2 linked regions of the Drosophila melanogaster genome follow. The protein of the gene in region 2 interacts with the protein of the main gene of each other region in a pairwise test. Each region holds a gene or a part of one and is shown on either strand. Other genes may lie near its edges.

The links.
Region 1: the proteins of CG13599 (region 2) and Gip interact in a two-hybrid assay, tested with the Drosophila melanogaster proteins (one large-scale study listed by BioGRID).

The regions. Positions count from the first base shown.
Region 1 is NC_004354.4:10,326,216-10,332,824, forward strand, and holds Gip (GIP-like), read right to left. Parts: upstream 3,658-6,609; 5' UTR 3,548-3,657; coding exon 2,753-3,547; 3' UTR 2,662-2,752; downstream 1-2,661. Other genes in the region: CG2909 (uncharacterized protein), read left to right, coding at 403-579, 644-788, 851-1,857, 2,197-2,385; CG15306 (uncharacterized protein), read right to left, coding at 4,171-5,244. UniProt on the Drosophila melanogaster protein: Catalyzes the reversible isomerization between hydroxypyruvate and 2-hydroxy-3-oxopropanoate (also termed tartronate semialdehyde).
Region 2 is NT_033777.3:23,927,880-23,934,794, reverse strand, and holds CG13599 (uncharacterized protein), read right to left. Parts: upstream 3,157-6,915; 5' UTR 3,083-3,156; coding exon 2,801-3,082; intron 2,740-2,800; coding exon 2,134-2,739; 3' UTR 2,067-2,133; downstream 1-2,066. Other genes in the region: CG5854 (uncharacterized protein), read right to left, coding at 1-231, 451-624, 735-768; RpS19b (ribosomal protein S19b), read left to right, coding at 1,400-1,705, 1,776-1,937; Rpt2 (regulatory particle triple-A ATPase 2), read left to right, coding at 3,469-3,471, 3,533-4,849; CG31142 (uncharacterized protein), read right to left, coding at 4,903-5,280, 5,383-5,472; CG43999 (uncharacterized protein), read left to right, coding at 5,817-5,958, 6,016-6,184, 6,242-6,431; CG43998 (uncharacterized protein), read left to right, coding at 6,489-6,799, 6,861-6,915.

The sequences.
Region 1 (6,609 bases), on a different chromosome or scaffold from region 2:
GTAAGGCATGTAACAGTAAAGTATGTAACTGGTAAAAGGAAGCGTTTCCGACCATATAAAGTATATATATTCTTGATCAGGATCAAAAGTCGATTTGACTTTTCTCGTCTTTCTGTCCCTCCGTATGAACGCCGAGATTTCAGGAACTAGAAAATCAACAATATTTATTAATCAACGGTATTAGTGACCACTTATCGAATAGATTTATCGATAATCAACTAATCTATATTGACAAGTATCGCACAAAATATTAACTCAAAATGCAACCACCAAGATTCTATCACAAAGCATTTAAGTGTCATTGTGAAATTATTATTCATTTCACAAATAAGGGGACTTTCTCTTCGAAAGGGTGACACTAATAGAGCTACCTGTAAATTGAAAAGTTTAAACCCAAAGACCATGTCTACCTTTGGCGCTGAAGTGGATCAGGTTTGGCCAGCGGTCACCGGTGATTCCCCGCATCTCACTAATTTCGGACGCAAATTGCTGAAGGATTGCCGCCAAGTGCAGAAACCAATCGGAGGATACGAAAATTTGGGCAATGTGATTAAATTGTCCGCGGAGTTTCCGCTGGAGGTATTACACTTGGGTGACCCCCCAGCCAACGTCGACTTACCCTTCCACTTTCTTCTTCTTGTAGTTCGGCGTGAACAGTGTCAAAGTATACCGGCAATCTCCATCGCGGCTTGCCCGGATAAATGAGGAAGTGGCATCCGCCTATCCATTGATACACGAACGTACATTGGGCCTCTACTTGCAGTACTTGGAGCACAAGTGTCGTTGGGGTAAGCAATTCTCTTGCCTAAATAGCCTTCTCAACTGATCGACTTGCCGCATTTCACCACAGGCAACGCGGTGGAAAAGCCCATCTACCGGAATTTATCGCTATGCGGATTTGTGCAACGTCTGCTGGTAAAGCGTTGCGCCAGCTTCTTTGCGCGGAACGACAAGTACCTGCTGGTGAGCGGAGAGTCCGGGGCCAGTGGCTTCGAAGCCGTGGGTACTCGGGAGGAGAAGGCGCCTCTGGTGCTGGCCAACGTGCTCAGCTATGACGATATCAAGCTCTCCGCTCTGCTTTCCGTGAGCTCCCGCACGGAGTTTGTCAATGAGGGCGAACGAACCAATTGCGGTCACGTTGATCTGAACACGAAAACTTTGGAACGTCACGGGGTTATTGTGGGCATGATTGGAGCCCGTCTGTCGCGACGTAATCTAATGGAGTTCCAGGACATTGTAATCGCACGTCAGCAGAATACGCGTGAAAGGGGCTACGGAATGGCATTGGATGAGCCGGCTACCACGCGTGATGAGGACTATCGACGACTGTGGCGCGAGTTCTATGCCACACGGGATCTCATCCACGGCCAGGCAGTCATTGACAATCAGCGTTTCGGACCATCGAAAAACAAGATGGACGTGTTCGACAATCTGGTGATGAAGCGGCGTTACGCCATCAGCTTCGACATGCTGCTGCTGGAGGCAGAGGCAAGGGCAAAACGCGTGAAAAAGCTGGCGTACATCCATGTGGTGGGCTTCGGCTTGGGCGTGTGGAAGGCAGCAGAACAGCAGGAGCGCATCTTCATGGAGACCTTCGAGCAGCGTATGCGCACGCTGGGCAACAGGCTCAATAACGTTGGCCTCGTGCACTTCTCCTGGTTTTCGATCACACATTGCGGCGGTCTAAGCAACGGATCGCTGATAGAGATTCCCGGGCATCCAAAGGATGGCATCAGGGTGCTCATTTCCAAGCGCAATCCAGCACGAAAATTGAGTGATCCTGAGCACGCCGGAATGCTGCTGGTAGTCTCTTACGCTTGGGATGGAAACGCCCTGCCGGGTAATGAATTCTGGATGGTAAGTACATAGATTGACAGTGCCCTCCTAGCCACAAATGTTGATATTAAGTGGTGAAACAATATATTTATATTCTGTGGTTTGGCCAACTGTGTGTTCTAGTTTTCCACTAATGCCCTTTATATTAAATAATAAGAACATTATCAATTTAATGAGGGCATGCATTATCAGCTTAGTAAGTGTTTATAATTGTGTTAAGTGCAATTATAAAGATAATTCAATTTAGTGATCATTAAACCAATGGAAAGTAACTTGACATTAAAGTAGTTGTAGTTCTTCCTTTGATCTTAACATTTTCTTCTTTCTAATTTCACATATTATAAACTTCATTCGTTTTAGAAAATGCTGCAGTCCACAGGTGACTCCTCGACGGCCTGCTCCACGTTGGTGGCCGAGCTGCACAATCCGTACATAAACACGAAATTCTGCAATGGAGGCAACCTGCACATCGCCTCACCGGAGCACGGGGTGCTCCACATAGCCGAATATGCCAAGCGGGTGATTCGGAGCGAGAGTGACGCCTTATGAGATACGTGAATCTGCCTGTTATCTAATCTTATCTAATCGTAGCTACTGTTTTATTCCACACTTGCTGTAGGTCAATTCCATGACCTTTTGACAGACGCATGACAATTCCAAAAAAAAAGGGAAAAAAAAGGATTTTATATTGTAATCGATTTTATAAAACGACCATTTTAAACCAAAACCAACCAATTGATTGAATTGAACCAACCAATTGAAGCTTTAAAAAGCCATGAAAATGCCTCGAAAACGAGAGAAATATGTAATAGAATTAAGTATTTTGGTTAAACCATCTTTATGTTTGTAAGCAGTGTAAATACATGTGTATAAATGCAGAGCAGTTCCTTATGCCAAACTATATGTGATGTGATAATTATAGCGTGTAGCCCAATTTGGAGACCCAACCCAAACCCTCGACAGTGGTCGTCTTCGGCTTGTACTCGCAACCGATCCATCCATCATAGCCGAATTCCTGGAGAGCCTTGAACACAAATCCGTAGTCCAGCTCACCGGAAACATCCGGCTCGTGGCGATGCGGCACCTGGGCGATCTGAAAGTGTCCAATCAGCGCCTTGTACTCCTCGAGCGTCTTGGAAACGTTGCCGTGCAAATGCTGCAGGTGATACAGATCGGCCAGCAATTGAATGTTGTCCGCAGCCACATCGGCCAGAATTCCAGCGGCTTTGGAGTATGAATTCATGTAGTAGCCAGGCACGGCGTACTTGTTAATTGGCTCTATCACGCCGATCATTTTACTGGCTCTAAGGCTATCGGCGGCGATCTTTAGATTGGCGGTATACGTCTTCGTGTAGTCACTCTCCTGGCCGCCCTTGAAGAGTCCAGCGGTTAGATGAATCTTGCCACAGTTAACCTGTCGGGCGAAATCAATGGTGGCATCCAATTGGCTACGGAACAGCTTTTCCGAGCCGGGCACACTGGTGGAGCCGAAACGCAGCTGATCGTCGCTCTTGTCGAAGGCCAGATTCACCAGACTGACCACCACACCCGTCTCCTTTACGGCGGACACCACGTCGCTCGTCTCGCCTTCGGGATAGGGGATCTCTACCGCACGGAATCCGTTCTGGTGGGCCAGACGAATTCGCTCCGCGATCGACGTCGCTCTTTCCGTGAACAAAAAGTTCAGATTCGCTGCAAACTTGAGTGCCATCTTCCGTTCACTAATCTCCGCCTGCGTTCACGCTTGGCAAACAACTGGGGGGGAACGATGCGATTACCCGTTTTTTATATTATATCTACCGACTTTTGATACTGCCAATGTCATATGGAGCAGGAGCTTTTCCGACCAAAGCTTTGCGTGATATATGTACATACATACGTAGGTTTTAAGTTATTTAGCTGGCATCAGAACCATTATTTAGAATTAGTATATTATTTAATTTAGTTCGTCGTTAGTTAAATAAAATACTAGTTCTAACACTCGTAGCGTTAATATTTTTAATATTATTATTATTATTTAGTATTATTATTTAATATAAAACCTGTGTGAAAAGCATTGACTCCACCTAGCGGACATTAAGGGAACCATTAAATAAGACGCATGTTTTGGGTCAACATTTTAATTTTCAATTTCCAAACCATGAAATACAAAAGCAGTGGAGAAAATGTGAATTTGGTTTAAAGAGTTCAAAACTGTTAATTTTGAAAAGCAGGCAGCCTTCGTCTTCACATCCTTACTCCTTCGAGGCTACCGTGTGCTTTGACTAGTTCTTTTGAGAGTTTTGAGTTGACAATGAGCTTGGCCAGGAATTAAAAACCGACGACGTCACGATATCAGTGGTCTCTTTGGAGCACCATGTGAATGTCCTGGCTATCCTCGTACTGGCTATCCTCGTCTTCGCTATCCTTGCCGTGGCTATCCTCGTACTGGCAACCCTGGTCACGGCTATCCTTGTACTGGCTATCCATGCCGTGGCTATCCTCGTACTGGCTACCCTGGTCACGGCAATCCTTGTACTGGCTATCCTTGCCGTGGCTATCCTCGTACTGGCTATCCTGGTCACGGCTATCCTTGTACTGGCTATCCATGCCGGGGCTATCCTCGTACTGGCTATCCTGGTCACGGCTATCCTCGTACTGGCTATCCATGCCGTGGCTATCCTCGTACTGGCTACCCTGGTCACGGCAATCCTTGTACTGGCTATCCTTGCCGTGGCTATCCTCGTACTGGCTATCCTGGTCACGGCAATCCTTGTACTGGCTATCCATGCCGGGGCTATCCTCGTACTGGCTACCCTGGTCACGGCTATCCTCGTCCTTTTTATCCGTGTGCTGGCTATCCTCGTCCTGGTTAGCTTTGCCCGTGCAAAGGCTACTGTTAATCGTCGCCTGGCAAGTCGCAACTTTACCTCGTATAGCTGTCGTCTTCACCTTCACCAAGCGAAAACGATCTTTGGTTGTCAATTTTGAGGATCCGATACCGATGTTCTGATGGTCACGAGCTACCAGTGCATCGTAGCCAGCGCATTTATCCTTAGTGTGATTGACATTGAAAAAGTGTCGGAACCACACGGCAAATTTAAAATTTTCTACCCTGTGGCCCTTGATCAAATCATTGACCTCAGCTGGTAGGCTTACATTTACCTTATTGAAGGCTTTTTGAAGTTCCTTGAAATTGTTAACGTACTCGTATTCTTGATTCGAAAAAAACTTAACTCGCTTCAAATTGATCAGTTTGGGATAAAGCATATGCATCAAATTACAATAGGCTGCACCGGTGCACAACTGTTCGATATTGATTAGGTTGCATTGGAGCGTCTCGTTGAACCAATCGAGAATATCGCCACGGGACCACTGAACCAACGAATTATGCGTGACGGTCACATTGTGGGCCCTCGAAGTAGCCATCGCAAGCGAATTCTCTATGTGTCTACAAGCTACTTAAAAATACATTAGCGATGTCTTACTTGGTCATTCAACAATCACTTACCCAAAGAAAGTTGTACAGGAGCACGTATGGTTTGCCTTGTTCGATTAGTTTTTTCGCAAGAAAGTTGCTTTTGGAAAATTTTGGAAAAATGTAAAATATCATGCAGCGCGCGTAAGCCAAAGTGAATACAAAGTTGACCTTTTCGTTTTACCAAAATATTTTGAAAATGTATATTGGAAATGTGTAGTTCTGTTGCTTTGTTTTTACGAAATTGTATGTACAAATTGTTTAACAATCGGGGTATATATTATTTGTGTGTTATGTTCACATATCAAATGCTCACATTGGACTAAGGTTTTGTCCAGTCTAAAGTTATGACACAAATGAAAATTCATTTCATGGCCTACATGATTTGAAAATTTTTCGGCACTTTTTCATGGCCTGCCCATCAGATTTTACTGTCTAGCCATGTTTGTTCGTAACCGTCGTATTGTCCTTTTGTCCTTCCGTCTAAACGGTCAAGATATTACGAAATGGTTACATTTATATATACACATTTATATACTAATTAGCATTTATATATATATTCAAGTGAAGCGTCTAGGTCTTTGACTAAATTTCACATTCATTGAGATTCACCAAAGTCCTACACATTTTATACATCCGTTTAAGTTGCTCTACGTTTCTCTACATAATTTCTACATTCTTCTACGTTCTTTCAGTACTTTCGACGTCCTTCAACATCGTTCTATACGCGCCTTCTATGTTTTTCTATGTTCATTTACCATTTATTAACTACATTAAAATAAATCAAGAATATTAACTAAAACTAGTAGTAAACCCGTCGAATTATTGGCTATTATTGGCTACAATTTAAGAAAGAAACTAACATTCAAAACTAACTGGCAATCTAATAACAATTCGATATGCACATATGTACATATTTGCCAAAAAGCTGAACAAGGATTAGGGAAATTGAATTGGTTTGTCTAACCAAACGGATTCGGATGACCCCATGTGGGCAATTTAAATACTGGACTTTTTGGAGTATATATACAATACAATACATATGTACATGCAATCCAAAACAGACATGTCACTGCCATCGTGTGGCACTGTTTTGTGCGAAATAATAATAGTGCAAATAAATTGCACAAATATCCTATTGTTTTAGCTTGACAACCCATTTTCGTTTCTATCTCTATCTATATTTATATTTCTATTTCTATTTCTATTTTTGTTCCCGGAAATGCGGCACTCGTCGTCCCAAATGCATTTCCCATACGGCTGCGTTCCATCGACAAAGGCAATTAAATTTGTAAAATTTTCGCAACGAGTGGAAA
Region 2 (6,915 bases):
CCTCTTTTAACGGCGTCTTTTCGCTGCTGTTCACACAACCAGAGCTGAGTTCCACGTATCGTTTGACCCGCTGGTTAGCCGCCTCATTGGCGCAGTTCAAACTGAGCTTCAGGATACCCTCCTTGTATACGGCATCATCCTGGTTGGCACGCGTCTCGGCCGCACAATTGATGACAATGTCCCAGGCCCGTCCAGTGGTGGGGTGTGGCGCAAAAGCCGCCTTGCATGAGGCTGTATGAAAACAAAGGGAAGCGTTCTATAACCAGTTTAGGTGCAACAAATGCATTAGGGTGGCTCGTTACGCGCAGCGATACCAAGGTGGTACTTGAAAATTCTATATCCGATAGCGCTTTCCTTTCACAAGAATGTTAATTGCGGATTTTGGATCTCCATAGGAGTTGTGATCCGCATCCTGGTGGAACGAGCCACCCTAATGTAGTGATTACCTACCGGCGTTTATTAGGTTCGCGCTGCAGAACTCCACCCGATCGCTCTCGAAGACCCGCGTCTGCTCCTCGTTTAGCCATGCCATCTGCGGAGGGGTCTTATCGGCCAGTCGTATTTCCTGCGCCAGTTCATTGTCCAGCAGATAAGTGGCCAAGTTGCGTCCAATGAAGCCGCAGCCTGCGGGAAGAGGAAGAGCAGCGATGCAGTCAGCGATGCTGATAAGCGGAAGTGTGGAGTGGGGAGCGGGGGCAGGATGACGATGAGGAGGATGCAGCGGGACCACTTACCACCCAAAATCAGAACAGTCGGCTTTTCAGACATGCTGCAGGCGCGACACGGTCAACCGGAATGCGAATGAGTCAAGTCGAAAGATATATATTTGTTAGCGCTCGAAATGCTTTTTGTTGTTTTGTTTGGCTGTATTTCTAGTGTGACCATCCCGTGATCATTCTTAAAACAAGAAATACCTTCAATGCTCCACAAGCTGGTCACCCTATGGCGCTGTATTCAAACCTCTTCGAATGCTCTTCAATTAGCGTAGAACGTTTTATTCATTTATACAAACCAAAATACAGCAGTTCTTTGATTCTTACTCCATAGGGCTTCAGTGTCATAAAATTGTCCTTGTTAGTCTACCTTAAACCCCCTGTCACCAAGAACAGTAGTTTTGCTACATTGCGTTCCTTTCCAAGTTTATAGGTTAAGTTTTCGAAAAGAATTGCCAAGTTCACCAATACTGCACGACAAAACTATCGGAAAGTAATCCTTTGGGGTCAATGACCTGGTCCCTCTTTCAAACGTCACTTGCCAATCGTCCATTTTGACTAAAGTCAGCAAACTAACCGGAAGCAAACCTTTTTCTTCTCAAAAGGTAAGACTTTTTTAAATACATACATACATATATCGGACCCATGAGCCTTAAAAACGTGCTTTCAAGAACGTAGAGAGCAACATGCCTGGAGTCACAGTAAAGGAAATCGATCAGCACGTTCTGACCAAAAACATGGCTGCTTTTCTCAAAAAATCCGGAAAAATTTTTGTGCCCGAACAGGCCGTCTATATGAAGACTGGCAAGTTCAAGGAGACTGCTCCTACCGACGACGACTGGTTCTACACTCGCTGCGCCTCTATTATGAGACACCTGTACCTGCGCAGTCCCGCCGGCGTTGGGGCCTTCACCAAGGTCTATAGCGGGCGCAAGCGCAACGGTGTTCGTCCGTCCAAGCACTGTCGCTCATCGGATGGCTGTATTCGCAAGGTGAGTGGGAAATGGTTGTACTTTAAGGTTATATTTAATATTACTTAGCATGTATCTAACACATGAGCAGGCTCTTCAAGCCTTGGAAGCTGCTAACATGGTGGAGAGGCACCCGGATGGTGGTCGTAAGCTGACTCCGCAAGGACAACGTAACTTGGATCGCATAGCCAACAAGATTGTGGCCAAGCAGCGAGAGCGCAGTGCACCAGTTTCCATGATTATCACTACCTAAGATGATAATACCAATACCACGATGGATCATCTTTGAGTGCCTTGGGTTTTCAAAACATTCTCAATAAATCGAAACCAAAAATAAAATTAAACAATTATATACATAATAAAATAACTTAATACTTGAAATATAAACGATTCGAAACTTTATTTTTGACACAAACACGCCGAATAGCAAGAATCCAAGTTATAAAATGTTAGCTAGACCACAAATCTCCCGATTTTTGGTTGCCAGGAGCTCTGAAACCGCGAACTATGACCTCGGCCTGCCACCAACCGCTGGTTTCATTTGCTGCTTTCAAAACGTCATGCTCTTCGTTGGTCTGGCTAACGTCTTCCCCAGATTTATCCAGATTCCGCACGCCAAGATCGTGGTAAATATCCATCTCCTTGCAGCAGCGTAATTCATTCGGTGTGTTTTCACTGCAATGCAGTAGATGCAGGTGTATGTTCTTGCAGCTGCGCGGAAGTTGGCTTAATATATGCTTTGGGATTAGATTAAAGGAGTCACAATGGGATCCTTGGGGTCGATCGGAGTCTGTAAGGAGCTCCATTTCTAGAAACACGTTGGTGACTTTTAGTTCGGTGGAGAATAGCCTGTACAGCTCCTCGCAGGTGAGCAGGCGGAGCAGCGCCTGGTTGATGCGACCTTCGGGCAGAGCATGGTGCTCGCAATAGTGATCTCTGGATATGGAATCATGTGGTATGTGCAGAGTATAGGCCTCCGAGGGCATGAACATATTGTTGCCAAAAAGAAATCGCAGGCTCTTCACTTCAGAGCTCCTGAAGGCTTGTCGGATGATCTGTAGGAGAGAACTGGCAAGTAAAGACCAAAAGAAGTCCTGGATGTAAGGGGAACCTCACCTCTCTCATGTCACTAATAGATTCCTTGGTGGCCTTTGCCTTAGAGCGCTGCTGGTTGCGTTGGTAATGAGCAAAGGACTCCTGATCCTTGGATTCTCCCGATTCATCAGCATCTGACCATTTATCCACATAATATTTGTATGTTTTGTACACGAAGGGGATTTGCCGGCGTTGATAGAGCAAGAAGTCCAGGATGCCATTCACGAACTCCGCTGTTGTCCCACTGGTCAGAACCTCAATGTTATCCAGTTTAAGATCAACATTCTTGACATTTTGATCCATTAAAAGGTCGCAATATAACAAATTTAAACAAATGCTCTTTTCGCACTAATTGCAAACGTTGCCAGACTGAAACATTCAGTTTGTTTACAGTAATCGATAAGTATATAAAACAGTGACTTTTAAAATTTGCTTTTTTCAAGTCTTGAATTCATTTATATTTTGGTTGTTAATCATTACTATTGTTTTAATCCGATTGCTTAAGCATTTCTTGCCTATTTTAATTTTCACGTTTTTTTAAAATATTTGTTCACCCTTAGAGTTGCCAGACCTTCATGTTTCCATAGTACGGCAACACAGCTAACGCGAATGACTAGTAATTTTGTTGCCGACAATAAAGAGTAAAAAGTTCATCAAACGTTCGGCAAAGCAGCAAGCACCAAGACAAAATGGTAAAATAGCACCTTCAGAACACCCTGAACTCATTTACGATCGGGAACAATACATTTGCAGGGACAAAACCAATCGGCTCAAGGGGGAGCTGGCGAAAAGAAAGATGACAAGGATAAAAAGAAGAAGTACGAGCCTCCAATCCCAACGCGCGTTGGCAAGAAGAAGAGGCGCGCAAAGGGTCCAGATGCGGCCATGAAGCTGCCCCAGGTCACGCCCCACACCCGCTGCCGCCTTAAGCTGCTCAAGCTGGAGCGCATCAAGGATTACCTGATGATGGAGGACGAGTTCATCCGCAACCAGGAGCGCCTGAAGCCCCAGGACGAGAAGAACGAGGAGGAGCGCTCTAAGGTTGACGATCTGCGCGGCACCCCCATGTCCGTGGGCAACCTGGAGGAGATCATCGACGACAACCACGCCATCGTGTCCACATCGGTGGGCTCCGAGCACTATGTTAGCATCCTGTCCTTCGTGGACAAGGATCAGCTGGAACCAGGCTGCTCCGTGCTGCTCAACCACAAAGTACACGCTGTAGTCGGAGTTCTCAGCGACGACACCGATCCAATGGTCACGGTGATGAAACTGGAAAAGGCTCCGCAAGAGACTTACGCAGATATCGGTGGCTTAGACACTCAGATCCAGGAGATCAAGGAGTCTGTTGAGCTGCCACTGACCCATCCCGAGTACTACGAGGAAATGGGAATCAAGCCACCCAAGGGCGTCATCCTATATGGGCCTCCTGGTACGGGCAAGACCCTGCTAGCCAAGGCAGTGGCCAACCAGACCTCGGCCACTTTCCTGCGCGTTGTAGGCTCAGAGCTGATCCAGAAGTACCTGGGCGACGGACCCAAGCTAGTTCGTGAGCTCTTCCGTGTGGCTGAGGAGCACGCTCCATCCATTGTGTTCATCGACGAAATCGATGCAGTGGGCACAAAGCGCTACGATTCAAATTCTGGTGGCGAGCGGGAGATTCAGCGTACTATGTTGGAGTTACTGAATCAGTTGGATGGTTTCGATTCGCGCGGCGATGTCAAGGTGATCATGGCCACCAATCGTATCGAGACCCTTGACCCGGCGCTCATTCGACCCGGTCGTATTGACCGCAAGATCGAGTTCCCGCTGCCCGATGAGAAGACCAAGCGCCGCATCTTTACCATCCACACATCTCGCATGACGCTGGCCGAGGACGTGAACCTTAGCGAACTGATCATGGCAAAGGACGATCTATCCGGCGCCGACATCAAGGCCATCTGTACAGAGGCTGGCTTGATGGCGCTGCGGGAACGCCGCATGAAGGTGACCAACGAGGACTTCAAGAAGTCAAAGGAGAGCGTCTTGTACCGGAAGAAGGAGGGCACGCCCGAGGGTCTTTATTTATAAGTCGCGCGAAGATATACTTTCAAGTTAATTTTGATAATTCCCAAACACATGCATTAAACCACATTAACACTAGAATCGCTCCCCGATGTGAATAAATTCGTAGTTGCCGGGAGTTGCTGTGCCAGTTTTCCTAGGAGGTCGTCCACGTAGGTCTTTTGTTTTTCGGATATAACGTTGAGTGGAGCGCCTTGATGCTCCAAATATGTGAAGTGTGCTTTATTTGTTGCATCTGCCAGTTGGAGTTTTTGATAAGCTTCTCGTTCTGCATTCCATTCGGAGCTTTCAGCTCCCGCCGCATTGCTTATGGTTTCATAGAAGGCACTCAGTTTGGCCAGTTCGAATCCAGTTTTAAAGCCATTCTCAAAGCCTTCATCGAAGCTCTCTTGGAAGACCTTTTCCCTGCCATCGGCAACGCCATCTGCATAGCTTATCTTGATAGGGAAAGGGTATTTAGAAGTCGTGTTTACTCGGCAATGTAAAGCCAGCTGATTTCATCATGAAAGCTGGCCACGCCAAATTCATTTTAAACTTACCTTTGCCACCTTTTCCTGCACACGATGATAATTAGTCGAGCTGATCTCTTTAAACTCAGTTTCATCATCAGAATCCCCAAGTGCCGACATTATTTTTTAGGAAGAATATTAAAGCATGCAGAGGTAAAGATTTAATAACAAACAAAACCAGCGTTTTAGTAACAGGTGTGACCGGGTTTTATATGCCAAATATTACCGATTCATAAACTAAACTGTCTAAACATCTTTCAAGAATCTGTTAGTTATTAAATAAGAACAAGAAGTTTAAAAAGAGTACATGTTTTAAATTGCTGGGTTTGGATATCCACAGACTTAAAGTTATTGCGACTCAGAAATTGAGTTTAGAAATAATTTGAAAAACTGATTATATGAAATTTGAAAATTTTCGGTTGTAGGGCACTTAGGGAATTCTGTCGAAACTTAGAAATTGCACAATGGTTGTGGGCGTCTTTCCACTGGCGAAACTAGCTTTACTTGCCATTAAGCACATTAGCAAGCCCATTGGCAATCTGATCAAGCAAACGGCCAAAAAGAATAAGTCATTCAAAACCCTGGTTGTTGCTCCTCCGGCGAGATGTGAGTACAATCCGTGGAATGCCCACCAGTTATCATCATAACCAGTATAATGTTCAGTATACCACGTAATTGATGTGCGCTCCAAGATGTGGATGCTGGGACTTGGACAACCTCGTCTAATTCCGCCCCTCACTGACGCGATGACTATCCAAATGGGCGGTGATATCCTGGGCGAAATGGTCATCTTCATTATTGGCGCCACGCTGATTGTAGGCGAGTTCAAAAGGTATGCAAGCCTCGATTATCTTGAAGAAATCTTGGCTTATTTCAAATATGCTTTTAGGCAAGCCAAGAATGACAGGTTGAAGCACGAAAAACACAAGATGCATCGGGAGAAGCTGGAGGAAAGAATTGGTAACCTCACCAACAAGGTCGCCCGCCAGACCAAGGAAATCAATCAGCTGAGGAGCAAGCTGGGAAGTAGGGAAACCTATACGGCATATTGCAATACAGGGGATTTGGAATGTAACTGAATTGGCCTGGAAATCTCAGTCGCCAGTATATTCGTGCTAAATTTTATGTAACGCACAATGGTGATTGGTAGTTTTCCAGTTGGAAAAATTTTCATTCATGGCGTGAAACGGATTAGCAAGCCATTCGGAGACCTTCTGATTTGGATGGGCAAGCATCATCCCTTTATACGGCGCTACATCATCATTCCGCCTGCCCAGCTCTACAACACCTTTGAGGTCCGTTCCAAGCTTCGTATGCTTCGATTAAAGCAGCCCAGGCGGATTCCACCCCTCTCCACTCCGGTCGCCACCAGATTGGGCGCTGATATGCTGAGTGAGGCTTTTGTGTTTGGCATCGGCGCGGGTCTCATATACTATGAGCTTTCAAAGTGTGAACTATTACAAATGTCTTAATAATTTGTATTCCTATACAATTATTTGTTTTTATAGAACATATACAAAAACCAAAAAACAGAACCAGGAAATTGAGGATCAAAAAAGAGTT